Linked DNA regions of Schizosaccharomyces pombe. Changing the gene in region 4 together with the main gene of any one other region gives a genetic interaction. Each region holds a gene or a part of one and is shown on either strand. Other genes may lie near its edges.

What was found.
Region 1: mutations in ccp1 (region 4) and spp27 together harm fitness more than expected from each alone (negative genetic interaction), as found in Schizosaccharomyces pombe (2 studies listed by BioGRID).
Region 2: mutations in ccp1 (region 4) and spf1 together harm fitness more than expected from each alone (negative genetic interaction), as found in Schizosaccharomyces pombe (2 studies listed by BioGRID).
Region 3: mutations in ccp1 (region 4) and sum2 together harm fitness more than expected from each alone (negative genetic interaction), as found in Schizosaccharomyces pombe (2 studies listed by BioGRID).

Annotation. Positions count from the first base shown.
Region 1 is NC_003421.2:1,829,983-1,834,727, reverse strand, and holds spp27 (RNA polymerase I upstream activation factor complex subunit Spp27), read right to left. Parts: upstream 2,746-4,745; coding exon 2,553-2,745; exon of another isoform or gene 2,481-2,552; coding exon 2,269-2,480; exon of another isoform or gene 2,136-2,268; coding exon 1,986-2,135; exon of another isoform or gene 1,932-1,985; intron 1,815-1,931; coding exon 1,668-1,814; 3' UTR 559-1,667; downstream 1-558. Other genes in the region: hel2 (ubiquitin-protein ligase E3), read right to left, coding at 19-115; msh6 (DNA mismatch repair protein), read left to right, coding at 3,047-3,640, 3,756-4,745. UniProt on the Schizosaccharomyces pombe protein: Component of the UAF (upstream activation factor) complex which interacts with the upstream element of the RNA polymerase I promoter and forms a stable preinitiation complex. UAF seems to stimulate basal transcription to a fully activated level.
Region 2 is NC_003421.2:363,204-367,461, reverse strand, and holds spf1 (Set1C PHD finger subunit Spf1), read left to right. Parts: upstream 1-1,979; 5' UTR 1,980-1,983; coding exon 1,984-3,258; 3' UTR 3,259-3,702; downstream 3,703-4,258. Other genes in the region: vsl1 (SNARE protein Vam7), read left to right, coding at 473-508, 545-1,534; SPOM_SPCC594.04C (steroid oxidoreductase superfamily protein), read left to right, coding at 3,729-4,258. UniProt on the Schizosaccharomyces pombe protein: The Set1 complex specifically methylates 'Lys-4' of histone H3.
Region 3 is NC_003423.3:265,424-269,917, forward strand, and holds sum2 (translation initiation inhibitor), read left to right. Parts: upstream 1-2,032; 5' UTR 2,033-2,066; coding exon 2,067-2,119; exon of another isoform or gene 2,120-2,157; coding exon 2,158-2,216; exon of another isoform or gene 2,217-2,254; coding exon 2,255-2,436; exon of another isoform or gene 2,437-2,544; coding exon 2,545-3,531; 3' UTR 3,532-3,985; downstream 3,986-4,494. Other genes in the region: trm6 (translation initiation factor eIF-3 gamma subunit Gcd10), read left to right, coding at 1-45, 182-1,475; SPOM_SPBC800.14C (uncharacterized protein), read right to left, coding at 4,284-4,494. UniProt on the Schizosaccharomyces pombe protein: Required for G2/M phase checkpoint control.
Region 4 is NC_003423.3:2,392,940-2,397,559, reverse strand, and holds ccp1 (CENP-A histone disassembly chaperone Ccp1), read left to right. Parts: upstream 1-1,978; 5' UTR 1,979-1,998; coding exon 1,999-2,071; exon of another isoform or gene 2,072-2,161; coding exon 2,162-2,272; exon of another isoform or gene 2,273-2,341; coding exon 2,342-2,857; exon of another isoform or gene 2,858-2,950; coding exon 2,951-2,985; 3' UTR 2,986-3,117; coding exon of another isoform or gene 3,118-3,766; 3' UTR 3,767-3,857; coding exon of another isoform or gene 3,858-3,886; 3' UTR 3,887-3,991; exon of another isoform or gene 3,992-4,002; intron 4,003-4,053; 3' UTR 4,054-4,088; downstream 4,089-4,620. Other genes in the region: eIF2 alpha kinase Gcn2, read right to left, coding at 1-719, 769-885; tlg1 (SNARE protein Tgl1), read right to left, coding at 3,118-3,766, 3,858-3,886; protein mug20, read left to right, coding at 4,457-4,590.

The DNA.
Region 1 (4,745 bases), on a different chromosome or scaffold from region 4:
AACAAGGAAGTTACGTACGATTCCTATTAGTTTTTTTATTATGAGTCCTAGAATTCTTTTTTTCCGATGCTCTGTTGTGCTCCTTATTATTTAAATTGGGGCCCGAAGGCGACATTTTGATTGTTTATAGAAGATTGCGTGTATGGCGCTGGGTAAATAAAATTTCGTAAAGCGAGCTGCTGTATGCTAAAAAAAACAGTTTAGCTGGAGACCTCTGAATTAGCTGGAATATCGCAAACTAAGAATATATTTATAATTTCAACATTATTGGAAAGTTTTTAAGCTTCTGAATTGATTTTTGAAACGTGCATCGAATATTTTGTTAGAAACGTATATAGCATTGAATGTACAGCGGAAGTAAATAGCAATCTCTTATAAAGGGCTTATATAATTTACTAATTTGTTTTGAAAAAAATATTCCCCTAACTTTTTCGCCATAATCTTTTTACTTTGTGCTTAAACAAGAAGTCGTGTATGTATGTAAGCAAGCGTTGTCCTGTCTACAAATAAATGCAATTGTTACAACTGTTAAATGTGGCTTCATCTAAAGTGTGATTGGATCTTTAGAAGTCGTAAACACCATGAAATGATTCAATCAATAATAAGTATATTCATTAAGGACTAATATAAAAGAGAAGAACACTTTCCACTCAGTCTAATCAATTTATAAGTCTTTTGACGGTTATAAGCAGCAATCTTCCAAAAAAAAAACGACCCACAAGCACACAAAAATGTTTATGTAAACATACTCTAACAAACGGATGACAGGTTTGCAACCCCAAAGAAAATCCCAAAATAAAATAATAAACAAATTAAAAAGACAGTACATTATTTGAGACTTAAAAGCATATATCCAGAAAACATCCATTTGCGTATAATTTAATATATACACTATAGACACAAGACGAGTACTAGTCATACAACCAAGCCATATCTTAGATCATCCAAAACTGTAAAGCAAACATCATATTATGGGTTTGTAATACGCAAGGGTAGTAAATAAAATTTATTATTGATGATATGGCTTCGACAGCTCCAAGCGACGGTGGTTTCGTAAACAAAATTCCCCGACAATGGGCTGAAGTGAATCATTTTTTATTTCAATGATATTATAGAGCAAAGCAGCGGTAAAATAATTAAAGGTGCGGTGAAGAAAGTGTTAATACAATACATGAAAATCTCCATCATGCACAACAGTTCATTTAGAAAAGAAAATCAATATGCTATATGAATTTATAAAAAAAAGCACAAAGATATCCATAAGGAATAGGTGATAAGAAATATTCGTAAAATCACAGTCAGTCTAACGTAAATTACCTCTTGTAGCAACCCAAGGTCTAAAGTCAGCAACCTGAACTTTTGTTTTCACACTGCATTTAAGATCAGAAAGTTGTAATGCAAAATACGATATCTGATTATGCGTGGAGACTCTCTAGACATACATAGCCTCTAGTATTAAAGCACGGATATGACATGGACATAGGCAAAATCTGTTGAGGAAAAACAGGTAAGCAAGCGAGTATTGAACGAAATAAACATTTATTGCATGCAATGAAAGCAAAAAACTTGAATGATTTTTGGAGACAAAAAAAAAAGGGATTATTGCAAGATATTATATGAAAAAAAGTTTTGGCTGTTTTATATGGTCATGCAGCAAACACAAAGGCTCAAGCGGTGGATTCGGCGGTAGGAGGCTCGACCAACTCTTTTTCCTCCTGCTTGGGAAGATCGTTCGGAGCCGCTGGTTCTTCATTTTTAGGCTGAGGTTTGGGCAATTGATCATCAGGAATCTTCGTCATGAGATTTGTTAAGTACTATTAATTAAGTTAGCTTAGCTTCGGCAGCAGGTAACAAAGAGCAATGCGGAATGTTTTCCACAAGTAACCAAATGAAAAAAGTAGACAAGGAAAGTTACAATCGACAAAGTAAAAGTTTGTTGACAAACCTCCTTAAAACAATTGTGAACCCATCCATGATTAACTTACCTTGTTCATGGTAAACATATGCAAAGTGTCGACTTCGAAAACGCTTTTCAATTTGTCATCACAAAGAATTGTTCGCTTGTCGTTGGGATCTTGTAAGTCATGTGCTTTTATATACTCCCATAACTTCTTCACAGTTTGGGGACGAGATAACTACGTTAGTTAGCAATCAGCAGAGAAAGCGTGCAAATAAACATTTAGTATGTAAGCCTGCCTCTTTTTTCAAAACAACAAGATTTTGAATGGAACGAGTAGGCACGGCTTCCACACTACAACACCGCCTTACCTGTTCAAGACCCAAAAATTCGGCCAACTTAGGGGACAACTTCATAGGCTTATTCAGAGGATTGTTGGCAGGATCTTGGTTCCTCTTGCGTTTTCCACCCTCTTCTCCATCTTCCTTGCGTTTTCGGGTTCTCTTTGCTGGTTTCTTGCCTTCTTCAGTGCCATTTTCCGTCGCTCTCTTACCCTTGGTTTTGCGAGCGGGTGCTTGTTTTTCTACAAGTTTGGTTAATTATTATTTCTTGCATTATTATTTGCAAATTTCTTCCAGCAATATTCTCATCTTACCTAAACTCTCCTTCTCTGAAGGTGCGGCGGTTTCATCAAAGCATTTCAAAATCAGCGCATTCAAGTCTTTTTTATGCGCACTCAAATCTACCTTTCTTCTTTCTTCTAAAAGTTGACGAACTTGCTTCGCAGATACAGTTTGGCGATCAACTGTACCGAGAATTTGCTTAATGTCTGTTTCGTACTCTTCCATCGTTCTAGTTCTTTATACTACCACCTTACTGTGTTGGTCAAAGTATGGTGTAGTGAGACGGTGGTAGTGGATATAGATTACGGTAAAGAAGGAAAGAGCGCTGGTGTAGCTAAATGCGATTTTGAAAAACACGCTATTTTTACAGATGTAAATACATAAAGCTTCAATTTAATTTCTTGTAAAACTAAAAATAATGGAAATTATATATGTTATTTTGTGCTCTCATGTTAGCTTTGTTTACTATTAGAATGCTGCTTTTTGTAAATAACTGAACTTAGCCAAAACCAACACTTGTTCCAGTATGAGCGTTGGGAACGTTGGCAAGCAAAGGGAGAAAACAAAAGATTCATCAGCTAAAACAAAGCAGAAAACCCTCTTTGGGTTTTTCTCCAAAATCCCGAATGTGAAACAAGAGAAGTCGGATTCTACATTATCTAGTAGTTCGAATCACGACTCTAATCATGATACGCCTGCTGATGTTGACAACAGCTCCAATGTGAACAAAAACTCTTCGTCTCCGGAACGCGAATTGCCAACGAGTCCTTCTCATCATGCGAATACCGAGATAGATTCCAGTTCATCTATGCTTCCTCCTCCATCAAGTGATCCATTTTCCTCACCGCTTTCTAGCAGCCTACACCGATCATCTCCTAAACGCCCTCATGATTCTTTGGGCGAGGAGTCACCAGGTAAATTGCTTCGCACGTCTGTGAAGCAAGAGCCCGACTCTGAAGAAGAAATCGATTCTCCGACGAAAAAGAAAAGTTTTAAAAGTTTGGATACATCAATATTTCAAGCTGAAGATCAATTTCGTCATCCTGTCTCGTCGAAGCTGGAAAATTCGGAATTATCTGAAGTCGACAAGCCTTTTATAGCTTCTCGGCGTTCAAGGAAGGTATGGGTAATTGAGTGATACATATTACTTTAGAAGAATAAAAGGGGAAATACGCACTTTACCCCTATATTAACCAGATTTTTGTTTTAATTAATTATGACTAACAATATGCTAGCCTGTTTCCTACGCTGAAAGTGATGAAGACGAAGACTTCGACGATGCACCTACCAAAGGATCTCGTCATAAAAGAATCGTTTCTGATGACGAATCGGATGACTACGTTGAGCCCGATCATATTTCGGAAGCCTCATCTGAGGCATCCTTGCCTATTGATGAAGTCGAATCTATGGATGAGGATGTTGATGGATATTCAGATCATTCCGTTTCTGTGGCTGCTCCAATTCCCAAAAAGGAATCTCGAAAGGAGAGTTCCAATTCTTTGTATGAAAGTTATCGGCTAGGCTCTCAAATTGCCAGTCCAAGCCCTTCGGTCTCGGGTTCTGCATCTCCCACAAAATCGAATAAAAACGGTGTCCTGAACAGAGAAGAAAAAAGAAGGCAAAGAATGGAGGCATTTAAAAAAGAAAACAACGAACGTTACGAGTGGTTGCTAGATGTTCGAGATGCTGATCAAAATCGAGTGGGTGATCCTAATTATGATCCGCGCACATTGTATATCCCACCTTCAGCTTGGGCAACTTTCAAGCCATTTGAGAAACAATTTTGGAAAATTAAAAAGGACCTTATGGATACAGTTGTTTTTTTTCAGAAGGGAAAATTTTATGAGTTATATGAGAATGATGCCGCTATCGGACATCAGGTATTTTCCTTAAAGTTAACTGATAGAGTTAATATGAAGATGGTTGGAATTCCTGAAGCAAGTTTTGATTACTGGGCATCTCAATTCATTGCAAAGGGGTATCGTATAGCTCGAGTCGACCAATTGGAAACCGCTTTAGGTAAAGAAATAAAAGATCGTCAACGAACTCAGAAGGAAGAAAAAGTAGTTCAGCGAGGCCTTACCCAAGTCTTAACGAGCGGGACCCTTGTTGACGAGGCAATGCTGACTTCTGACTTGTCAACATATTGTATGGCTATTAAAGAAAGTCTTCAATCTGACAACGAAGAGCCTTCTTTTGGTATCTGCTTCATTGATACCTCGACT
Region 2 (4,258 bases), on a different chromosome or scaffold from region 4:
AACCAATCCATGTAGGAAAATATAGAAAATAAACAATTTCTGTTTATTACTAAGCTTCGTTAAGATTTTGCCGTTCTTCTGTTTAGGTATTGTAATTACTTGTAAGTTGCACCGTTCACGAGTGCCAAAAAAAATACTCAATAATCTGACTATAAAGTGTTTAAAGGTATAAGATAATATACTAACCTAATTCATTATTTTAATTTCTAAATCTATTGCAAACTGGTAAACTTTCTTTCAATACCTGCCAATTCGATAATCGTAAAGGCATCTCGCGCATCAAGGAAAACATGAGGTTTAAAGGATCTAAAGCATCATGAAACTGAAATTTATCTTTATTCAACTAATAGAACCTATACTATTTGAAAGCTCAAATTCTACATTATACAGTTTTATAACGATAGTGCAGTAAATCCGATACAGTAGTCTGTTGTTCATGAACTCATTGTTGATCAACCTGTTCATAGCAAGTATGGCGCTAAAAATTAAAATACCAGAAACGTCTCAAGTAAGCTTTATTCCTTTAATTTTTACTTACAACTAGTCTTCTGATGAATATTCACGATGGACGGTTTACCATATTGAAGTAGCATTTCCGAATGGTGGGAAACATGTTGTATTTCGTCGGTTCAATGAATTCGTTGCTTTGGATGCTCAAATTCGGCCAAATGACTACAACAGTAGACTTTGCAAACTCCCCTCTAAATCTTGGGTTTCTTCAACTGTGACAAATGAAAAGTTACGTGAATCTCGACGACTTGCTTTACAAGCTTACGTTCAATGCCTTTCAGAAACGCCATGGATAAAAATGCCTGTGGTTAAAAAATTTCTAAATATTAAAGATGAATCGGAAGATGAAACACAGGGTCAGTTTTTGGGTCCGACAGATTGGATTCAAGTATTTCAAGATTGTAAACGTAATTTACATATGTACCGAGTTGACTTAATGAGTGGAAAAAGCATTACGATAGGAGTTCAAACAAAGAATGTCTATGCAATAAAGTCGCTAATGGATAACCTTTCAGAATCGTTAGACAAATTAGAATTAGCAAATGCTCTTGGTCCAGGAGAAATCCTTCGACGAAAAGATATGTTAGAACAGCTTGGTTCTGAATTCTTGTCATTTAAACGGTTAGTTAAAAATGCAAACAGCCCAGTCGCTCCTCCTTCTGCCTCATCTCAATTAAACTCTTCTAATCCTAGTTCTCCCTTTCGCCCATTATCTGCATCTACTGACAAACAATCTAATACCTCTTTGAACAGAGTCCTTGGAAAAAACAGAATGCCAGAGACACAGACAACAAAAAAGCTTGATAATGTAGGACTGTACAACATGCAGAATCAAACTATGGAAGATCAAGATATGCAAGCAGAATCGTTATTGCCTATTATTCAAAGGCAGAAGGAGCTTTCGAAAATGATTAATCAAGAAGTTGTCGAGCAAAACTCCATGTTAGACGAGCTTTCTAATGAAGCATATGCAAACCAAAAAAAGCTACACAGAACACGAGCTGGCCTTCGCAAATTGGGTTAATATTTGGGTGTTTATGAGTATTTGATTTAATTTCACGAAATTTAATGGAATCTTCTTTTGCAGTTTTGTCTTGTTTTCTATCCAATTCTGCTACATTAGTGATTGTCTTGGATGAGATTATCTGGGCTAAAAATATTTATTATTTGGTGTATTTGCGTTCTTTCCTTTTTTTTTTTTTTTGTTTAATCTTCTTGAAGATACCGCAGTAACCTCTGTGAGTTATATAGGCATGGTTAGTTCGTCCGTCAAGGTTGAAATAATTGTCTCCTTTAATTAAGCTTGATATTAATATACGACTTGTTTAAATTTCAACTTGTTTTGACAGACCCCATTTCTTTTGTATTTTGGTTTGGCTTGTAGTTCCTTTTAATGCATTTAGTGTACTGTGCTTAAGCTCGCTTTCTTTAGATTTTACTTATTGACAGACTTAGACAACTGAAATTCCAATAATGGAATTAACGCAAGAGAATACTGAGGAAAATGAAAAAACTCATGTAGAATCAATTGTAAAATTTGAGGATTCGAATAGAGGCACCATTACTGATTTTCATATCGAGACAGCTAACAATGAGGAAGAGAAAGACGCCAACGTAATTCTCAATAAATCTGTTAAAATGGAGGTTGAAGAAGTCAACGGTCACGTTGATTCTTCCTCAACGGAAACAGACATAGAAATGCAAGTCATTCAACAGCCTACAATACCCAAAAAACCACCCGTATCAGCTCATAGAAGGGGTCCACGAAAACACCGAGGAAATGCGAATAGCCAACTCAATCTGTCTACAGCCGATCATCAAAGACCATTGTATTGTATATGCCAAAAGCCTGATGATGGATCATGGATGTTAGGATGTGATGGTTGCGAAGATTGGTTTCATGGCACTTGCGTTAATATACCTGAATCTTATAATGATTTAACTGTACAGTACTTTTGTCCTAAATGCACAGAAGAAGGAAAGGGTATAACTACTTGGAAAAGAAAATGCCGGTTACGAGAATGCTCGAATCCCACAAGACCTAATTCCAACTATTGTAGTGATAAACATGGAGTCGATTTTTTTCGAGAAAAAGTAAAGCTGAGTACGGTTGAACCTTCTGCTATAAAAAATCTTGTATTGTTTGCAAAAAAAAGGGAAGAATTTCAAAATTTGGGTACGGTGGGACCGACATTGCCAAGCCAAGTTCCTCCTGAAGTTGTGTACAATTTTGAAATTGAGGAGGCCAATAGGCTGAACGCAGAAATTGTGCAATTAAATAAAGAGAAAGAAGTAGCATCTAACAAAAAAATATTTCTTCAGTTGATCAAAGATTCTTCGCGGAGAGCGGTTCTTGCTTACAAAGAAAGAGAAGGTATTAAGAAAGATCTGTGTGGATTCGATTCTCGACTTTTATTCAATCAACAACAAATGAATGAATTGTGGGAAAAAGTTTCAAATGGAGCACCGCTATCTCTTGACATGAGTATAGATCCTTCTCCTGAGTCCACCTGCTTTACAGAGAAGCGAAGATGTGCAAAGCACACAAGCTGGCAGGTAATTTTTACCGAAGATTTTGAGTTGCAAGAAAGTAATATTTTACAAAAACTAAACATGAAGCAAACTGCCAAAGATGTAATGTTGGAGCATCAAAAACAGAGGTGCCTACCCGGGATACAATACGACGGTTATGCTCGATTTTGTCATGAACAGTTATCTCCCGAAAAAATGGCTAATTTATTAAAATAAACAGAAGGATGCATCTTTTGGTTTAATTTACAATTTTGAAGTTTGCTTTAATTTCTAGATCATTTCATGTAAATCACGAGGCATTGATTCGCAAATGTTAATGAAAGAAAAGTTTATATTGCTTGGCATTTGTCTCTTAATTTTGGCTTTAAATTTATTGACTCCCTGTTTCGCAAAATAATGTTGACAGATGGTAATTTGGTTTTTCCTTCTAAAAAGTCACTTTTTAACATAAGGACATACATTCTACACCCTCTCTTTTTATCAACTCATGTCTTAATGGCCTTGAGGTTTTCTCTCTCTTTTGTTTTGAAATTTATTTTATTTTATTTTTTGGAAAACGCAGGCTCCTTGGATTTCACTAATCCTTCTTATTCCAGAAGCTAACGTCACAATGAGACAGAGGATTTCGTGGAGCTATAGAAAGCCAACTTTCTGACATTCCCATTGTTCTTTTTCAAACGAGCACTATGACTTTGGCATCCACCATGCCAATTATTTATTCGGCATCTGATGCCGCAAAATGGAAAGTTGCAGTATCTCCTTACCTGTATCAACTGAGCAATTTGAAGTTACTGTTTACTGGAAAGTTGAATTTTGCAGATTTTTATTATAATACGAATCCATTTGTTGTAGGACTACTTCTCTCATTTATTTTGGGAAATGTGCTTTGGGGAGTGTCTGTTTGGACGAAAAATACATCGCAAGTGGATCGGCTATGGCCAATTCTGCCAACGGCTTTTTCCTTGCATTTTCTGTTTTATGGTTTGGGATACAACATTGCTTCGCGAAGATTAATGATTATGGCATTTTTGCAGACTCTATGGTCCGCGCGTCTTACTTACAATTATTACCGTAAAGGAGGTTATAATCGAGGAGCAGAGGACTATCGTTGGGTGAGAGTTCGCCAAATCATGCCTAAATGGATATATCCATTATTCCACTATTTTTACATTCATATCTTTCAAGTGCTCCACCTATATTTGCTTGCATCTCCCAC
Region 3 (4,494 bases), 2.1 Mb from region 4:
GCTTCCTTCAGACAATGTTCGTTTTGTAACATTGAAACCAAACAAGTAAGTATGAGGATCTTAATTTACAATTTAAAGTACATTTTCAATGATAGCAATTGAAATTGTTTTTTGCATAAGGAGATAGAGGTGATCTAGTTTATCTCGTTCATATTGATCTTACTGACTTTATATTAAATAGTACAATTCACCTCGGAAAATTTGGTTCATTTCTCGCTGATGATTTGTTTGGAAAGCATTTTGACGAAACTTTTGAAATTTATCAACCCAAAAAAATTCGAGTTTTAAAAACAAGGGAGGTACAGTATATCGAGGAAGAAAAGAAAACGAATCAAGAACTTAATGATTGTCGAGGCAATCAGCTTATGACTCAAGAGGAGATTGATGAACTGCGCGCAAACATTAAAGCTGGTGGACTTCGTGCTGAAGAGGCCATCAAACAGTTGACTAATAGTAGTAAAACTTTTGAGCAAAAAACTTTATTTGCTCAGGAGAAATATGTTACGAGAAAAGGGGAAAAGTATCTTCAACGCTTTCAGGTTTTACGACCTTGTGTTGAAGTTGTGGCTAATTACATGATTGAACATGATCCGTATAAGATACTTGATCTTACTGCCGAGTGTATAAGCTTGATGCTTACTCTTGGAAATGTTAAACCTGGGGGTAGATATTTGGTAGTTGATGAGACTGGATGCATGTTCCTTGGTTCTCTTATTGACCGTGTTGCTGGTGATTGCAAAATAACCCTGGTCCATCCAAATGAGCAACCTAATAGCTCTTGTTTAGAGTATTGGGGGCAAGACTTTAAAGAGGATAGTTTGGTTCAAAAAGGGATTTTGAAAACTTTGAATTGGTATCAAGTTACGAATCCAACCGAGACTTTAAGTGAGTATTCGGTTGAAGATATTCCTGAATCAGAGTTGAATGAGATGAAACTTCGCCACCGTAAGCGCTATGAAACGAAGAAAGCTACATTTAACCGTTTGAAGAATACTATTGATGATTTTGAAAGTGGTAACTATGATGCTCTCTTTATACTATCTATTCACACCCCAATGTCTGTTCTTCAACATCTTCTTCCAAAGCTCGGTATATCACGTCCTTTCATGGTATACTCAACATATCAGCAAGTCTTAGTCGAGACGTATCATCAATTATCTAAATGGGATAACTTATTTGTAGAAAAGACAGCTCAAAGTACTGAAAATGACGAAAAGGTTGATCAAGGAGACGTTGCTATTGATACACAGAAAGAGAAAGTCATCATGCTGGATATTCATGAGATTCGTACACGACCTTACCAAGTCTTGCCAGAAAGGACTCATCCATTCATGACTGTTAGGGGTGATATGGGTTTCGTTTTATCTGGGATCAAGGTGTTAACTTCTGACAGCAATCTAGCTGCCGGAAGGTTTCCAAAACGTAAGGGCCAGAAAGAAACTTCTTCTGTCAAAAAAGCAAAATTGGAAAATTAGATATGAAATATTACTTTTGGAATATTTTTTTCAAGGCTACTCTATTAGATCAACAAGGGGAGTTACAATTTTGGACATAAACTCAGTTACGTTGAATTGGGAAAAGGTTTTTGTTATATTAAAAAGTTTTTTGTTTCATTCTTTAACTTAAAATTTTCATACGTATCAGAAAATGAATATGTTAGTTGGATAATGTAATTGACGGTGCGGTTTCAGGTTAACTCAATTTTGAAGAGCGTTAAAGTACAGTGTCTTTTGCTTGGCATTTTCATTCTTTTTAAAAATAGATTACTTGTAATAAGTATAAAATTAGTTACAATTTGACTGCTGCACATATACGTATTTAAGTAAAATAAGTAGTACATGGTCAGAGCAGCTGTGGATAGCCTTTTTGATCTTAAGCATGTTAATTTTAAATAAATATAAAAACTGATGAAAAAACAGCTTATAAATGACAATGTCGCATTTTGGTCTTATTTACTCGGTATAATGAACCCCATACTAGCGCTATCGCCAAGTTCGTTAATTTCGAAAGGACACCTAACCACGCTCCTTTCACCACTAAGCTTTACTTCGTCGAGTTTATAACCAATGACTGAATTTATTGGTTCTCGTATTAGTCTAATTAGCAAATCTGACATTCGGTACGTGAGAGCATTATCTTTCCTTTACTAATATTTAGTTATGTGGGCATTTTGCAGGACATCAATTCCCAGGACTCAACACTGGCTTTGAAGCATGGTAGGTTGAGTACCCAGCATTGATTACTAACAGTTTAGTCCGTTGGTGTGGTACTGAAGGAAGAAAACAAGATCCCTCTCAAGAAATCCCCCCATCAGATAATGTATTTGATTACATTGTTTTTCGTGGAAGCGATGTTAAAGATTTACGGATTGAGGAACCTGCTACTACTCCTTCTGCTCCCCCGGTTCAACCTCCTAATGATCCTGCAATTATTGGGGTATGTTACGTCTAAAGAGTGGTGGAGATTCTCATTAGTATATCTAGTATTAATTATCTTTGGCACTCTTTATATATCTGACAAGATCATGATTTTAACTATAATTAGTCTAATAGCGGGCAGTATAATTGGAACCAAGCGCAGACTGCCCAACCTCCTCAGCCTGTTCAACCTAACCCTTATGGAGCTCCATACCAACAGGCTCCTCCAGCAGGTGCACCTTACTATATGTACCCGAATGCTCCCGCTCAATTTGTACCTCCTGGAGGTTTGCCTTTGGGTACTCCCTTAGACGCATCCACACCTGCGGTCCCGTATTATGGGGCACCTGATCAACAGCAAATGGGTCAACGTCCTGAGTTTGCTCAAAATGTTTCTCAAGGGTTTGCCGGTCAGGCCCCGTACAACGTACGTCCTGGATACGGAATGCCTTCAAACCAGAAGCCTCCCAACTTTGCTCCGGGCATGCCTGCTCCTGGTCCTACCGCGGTATCTGCATCTCCGTCTCTTCAATCCATGCCGCCCACGAATGGAGTGATACCAGGTGCACAGCCCTCCATTGAAGCATCTATTGAAAAAGAAAGTACTAGTATACGGAATTCCACTGTCACAAATGACCGTGTTGTGAATACTACTGTGGATGTCTCTCAATCCCAAACCGTTGAAACATCTGGACCTTCTAAAGAAGTTCCTACAACTCAACCTGATGCTAGTGCTGCAAAGCCTCGTACCGAATTTGACTTTCAAACTGCAAATCAAAAGTTTCAATCGATGAAAGATGATTTGTTAAAAGGAAAAAATGATGAAGAAGCCGAAGAATTTTACAAGCCTAAGCAATCTTTTTTTGATAATATTAGTTGTGAAAGTAAAGAGAAGGGTATGGAAGCTGCAGATAGAAGAGCTCTACGAGATCGCGAACGTTCTTTGAACATGGAGACATTTGGCGTTGCTGGCTCTGGAAATCGCGGCCGTCGTGGACGTGGTCGTGGACGTGGTGGTAGAGGTCGTGGACGTGGATATGCAAGAAATCAATATAACCAATACAGGAATTCCAATGGCTCTCAACCTAGAGCCCAGCCTGCAAACGACCAATGAACTGCATTTCTTATAATGAGTACAGATGAAGTATCCTCGTTTCTCTAGATTGAGCTTCGTCTTCGTTTCAATCATGATGAACTCAAAATTTATGGACATGTATTTAACGACCCGAAAAAAGGTGTTCTCTTATATAAACCAAAAGGATTAGTCGTTGTTATTTGATATTTAACTTAGGAGTTTTGTTAAGTTCTTGTAGAGTGCTTTAAAAACTATACTTATCTGCTCATGTATTACGCAAGAAGAACAAGCATTGAAACGATATCCTATACCGAGATTTCGTAAAGGTATTACGAATAAATGTTAATGGGTTACATATAATTACCAAAAGGTTGAAGACTTAACCAATCCGCTAATGTTTATTCTTTTATACACCTTGATAGACCCAAAGCATCGCTGGTTGCATGACTGAACATTGAACAACCCGTGTTTTTCAACAGTCGTTTCGTTTTTGAAAAGCGTTTTGTAAAAATTTGATTCAGTCGACTTGTTTGAAGCTGACAAACTATAGAATCCAAACAACAATGTTTGAGCAGTATGAACAATTTATAAGCGAATCGTTTTAAAAATAAAAATGTGCTCTCTTAATTTTAGCATTTTTTAATAGTTTAAATTTCACGAACTTAACTACGTGATATAGTGTTTTAATAATCAGCAGTAGAAAAATTAGAACTTAATATTATTTGATCATCAACGAATATCGGAACGCAAGAGTTAACACGTAAACGATACATTACAATTATGTTTTGTTATCAAAAGTAAATTGATCCAGCGATTGAAGCTAAACCAGAGAAAAACATAAATGCGCTTCGAAATAAGTTTTTAAAACCCCATCTGTGAATTATACTGCGGAAATTTTGAGTAGCCTTTACATCTTTAAGTATTAGATCTGGATTTAACGTTTGTAAAGAGTTAATGTCCTTTTTCATAAACAAAAGCGTGAAAGGAATAATACATAGTCCA
Region 4 (4,620 bases):
CTCCAGTAAGGCGTACTAATTCGGACGGTTCTAAGTAGAAAAACACAATCCTGTAAAGATATCTCTTTAGATTCAGGCTTGACCAAAGTCAAAGTAGAAAGGTTGGAATGCGAGATTGTATACAAAGGAAGCACTCTATTAAATGTAACCAAAGAATCGTGACAGTCTCTAACGGATATAGAACAATCAAAATAAATAGAAGTTGGGAGGGTTTCGAGAGAAGTTGTTTCCTTACTATTCGTCTTTTTCTTAGAAGAAGATTGCGGTGTTTCGTATGAGCGGCGTTGTAATTCATCTTGAATTTTGTTCTGAAGCGTTTGTTCTTCCTCAAATAAGGCATCTTTCTCCCGTTTTAACCTAAGTTGTAAATCCACTTCCGCTCTCTCTCGATCATGCTTTAGTTGTACCGCACGTTCCTCTTCCAAGCTAGCAAATTGAGAAGAGAGGTCAGACTGCCAATCATTAAGATAGTCCTGCACTATACTGGCAAGTTCAAAAATCATTTCCTCTCCTAGCAAGTCTTTTGCCTTTGTATCTAACTTATCAAGCAAAAATCGAATCTGAGAGTTTAGGACATTTTCTCCATTTTGTAACTTGATCACTGGTTTCACATAAGGATAGCTTCTTCCAAGCTCAATACAAAGATCAAGTTTCGCAATACTTTTAGAGTTTGCACTTCTTGAACATAGATGTATACAATAAACATGGCCGTTTGTAACCTAAGATACCATTGTTAGTAAATGGGTAGTGAACAAACATTAATCATACATTCCAAGCATTCCTAACTTTCAACTCCTCAAAATCATCCATAAAAATGGCTTTGAGGGCCTCAATTTCATTTTCTTGAATTTCCTTGCATAGTTCCAGACGTTTCGCCGCATCCATGAACAGCTTTTACCAACTATTGTTGCCAATAATTTACTAGTTTAATAGGAAGCAAATATATTTATTCACAATTAAACTGTTGGTTGAAAATTCGTCCTGTGTAAACTGGAAGGAAAGAAAGCAAATCAGTTTATATCAGGACGGCAATATAGGACTTGAAAATATAATTATTATCAATTCTATTTCTTTTCTTTCCTCTGAATTGGATTTTTAGATAAATTGCTTGTTTGCCGCGAATTTGCTGGAGGAAGAAGTTTCTCGCTCGTGGTATACTAAAGATGGAAGAACGCAGTATACTGGTATTGTAATGAGTATAGATTGATTTGAGCCGAATAAATGCGATAATCGGCACGGATCATACATTCTTTAGTTAAGATGTAATTTTGAGTTGGATAAGATGAATCAGACTTCAGATCTTCAATCGATAACGAACAGTTGGATATAATGATTATCTGCATTTGTATGCAAAGCGCTTCATTGTTTGAAGTGAAGCGGTCAAAAAGTTTTAACTTTTAATCGCGTTTGGTTAACTTTTCTTCATTGTTTTACCATAATCATGGATTTTTGATTAAACTACAAAGACATACTTCATAACTGATAAAATAGATACACCAGTAAACTATAACAGCGTTTCATATAATGCAATATAATACAAATTTGTAGTTGCATTCGAAATGTTATACCTTTTTTCCTCCTCTCCTTTCTTCATCATGGTCAGGAGAAGTTTGGAAAATGCAAGCACGCTAGCCTGAAAGCTCGAAACCGCGCAAACTACAGTTTATTTTCTAATTTTACTCTTTGTTCAGACTAATAAGTTATTACACTTATAAAAACAACCTATGAAAATGGTGTGAGTTAAAAACTAGAATCCTGCTCGATTACTAGTAATATGGATGGTTTGTATACTGTTGAAAAAGTCAAGGTTAAATTATTGCAAGCTACAGAAGCTACGGCAGTCATTATATTGGAAAGTAAAGCCTCTGATATACTTTGCTAGCATTGTTCATCGTACGTAAAAACGTGGTAAGGGTAGTGCCTTCATCATCGTTGACGAAGTGAGAATTTTCGAATTACTATTAGATTTTTCTCCCTTGCACGAAATTAACCTACAAAATGGAGGCAGCTCAAGCTTTTGAAAATCTCGCAAACCTAGAGCAAGAGTTTGGAAAAGCAGAAATCGAAATATGTATGTTTAATCGATTTTGCATTTTTGTAGCATAAAATTACGTTTTTTATAAAAAATGTGTTAACAATTGCTAATGTATCTTGGTGCTAGTGAAGAAACAAAATGAGCTTTTTCAACCGCTTTTTGAGCAGCGTCGTGATATTTTGAAGACCATTAACAACTTTTGGGTAGTAGTTCTGGAAGCTGCTGGGGATGAAATCAGTATGTAAAATTGTATACTATTATTGTTTTTGTTTAAACATTGTTGAAATTCTAATTAAGTTATTTCAGGCCAGTACATAACACCTGAAGATAGTGTGTTACTTGAAAAACTCGAAAATATTTATGTTGAAAGGTTTAATGAAAAGGAACCAAGGGATGTCCGAATTTCGCTTACCTTTCAACCAAACGAATATCTTCAGGACGACAACCTTACCTTGGTAAAAGAAGTGAGAATTAAAGAGGAAAAAGCAAAGGATGATGAGGGTTTGGAAAAAAAGATAACCAAGTATACTTCGCAACCTGTTGATATACATTGGAAACCAGGAAAGAGTTTATTTAGAAAAAATAAAAAATTACCTCCTAATTTTTTTGACTATTTTCAATGGACCGGAGAGGAAGAGGACGATGATTTTGATGGAGCAACACTCACAATTTTTCTGGCAGAGGATCTTTTTCCAAATGCTGTAAAATATTTTACAGAAGCCATGACCGAAGAAGCGAGTGATGAGGATGAGTCAGTAGATTTGGAGGAAGATGAGGAAGAAGAAGACGAAGAAGACGAAGAAGGGGACGAAGAAAAGCAAGGTACGAAAACAGGTCTTAAAAAAATAAGGCGAAAGCATGAATAGATGATATGATAGATGTCAATGTATTGTAAAACTAACACAAAAATCGCAGAACCACCTTCCAAAAAGTCCAAGAAGTCTAATTAATTTAAGGAACGAGAACACAGACATGAAATTTTTTTTGTCTTCCCAAAGCTCGAGGTTACCTATGGAATGATTGGTTATTCGTTTATTGGGAAGATGGTTCAAAGAATTAAATAATACAATATAAAGATTTAGTTACAGCACAATAACCAATACCAACAATGCAATTAAGATGATAATGAGTACGGTAATACAACATCCAGATTTAGAGTCTGCGCTTGCAATCGTAAAATCTTTCAACCGCTTCATACCCCTGCGAAGCTTACTATTAGTGGTCTCAATGGAATTGTCAAGAGTATCTAACAAGTCAGCCTGTTGACCCAATTCTTCGCCCATCAAAGCTGCCTGCCCACGAATGTTTCCAATCGTGTCGTAAACCCCGTCCAGCATTACGTCTTGTTGCTGATAAAGCTGCTCTTGATATTGTCGATTGACAGCATGATCTTCTTCAGACAAACCAGCTGAGGCACCATTGTCAACAGTATAAGGTTCTGTAGAAACTGGTGTGCTTGGGGCAGCACCCATCTTTAACTGTATATTGTTTAACTCAATATCCAGTTCCGAGACAAATCTCCTTCTCGACTTTAGTTCTTCTTCATCTAACCCAAAATGCTCAGAATTTTTCATCGCTATTTCCACAGCAGCTTTTAAGTCCTTCAATGTTTCGCTTAACTCATCAATGGCGTAAGTAAGCTCAGTATTTGGTGAAAGGACTCCAGAGTTTCGTGCGGCCATAAAAGAATTGTAAAGCTTTCGCACTTGCTCCATTTGATTTGATGCATCCCTATATTTCGAATAAATGTCAGTTAAATAAAATCTTAAAGCAACAAAAGGAATCTATTAAGACATTTCTGGTTCATCATTGCACAACTTACGCTTTGACTTCATAAAAGGGGTCCTCCATGTTGATGATGTAGAGATATGAGCCAATTTTCTACTTGGAAATGCTTTTATAATTTAAAGAAAAATAAGATAATATAAAATAAACGAAGCAAATTCGTATTATCAGGTATGCTGTCTGCAAATACTAAAGTACTGTGCTGATTCAGTCAAGTAACGACTTTACGATAGATAACGCTACCTAACTGCTCACTCAAAGATCACCGTAAACATTGAGTCCTTACAAAACAAGTAATGGAGAATAAATAAGAAAGCAATATCTCAATCTTGTTGAAAAAACAGCAACCTCCCCTTGTCACTATTTTGTTTTGATTCAACCGTATTCCACCGTTGTATGTTAGATTAAATGTAAACATCTAGGTAAATAAAACGTTTTCAATGGCCAAAAGCAATCTTTCATTCTAGCCTTTGTGCTAAAAAATTAATTCTATTGCTAAAAACCTAAGACTAAATGTTTTAAGAGAAACTGAACACAAAGAAAGTCTTGTGAGCTAAAACAGTACGCTATATATCGCTAGCTTGATGTAAACAAAAGACGCGTAGACACTATTAACATGTTATCAAGAACCACAACATGTCTGAAATTATAACGTCTTTGCAAACAGAGCTGAGCAATCGCCATGCTAACATGGTATCTGAAGCAGTATTAGCATTCAGTGAGCATCATGATAGTGCATTGCATTCATATTTTTTGAATGCACGTGTCAAGTACGTCCATAAGTTTCTTCAGCTAATTGA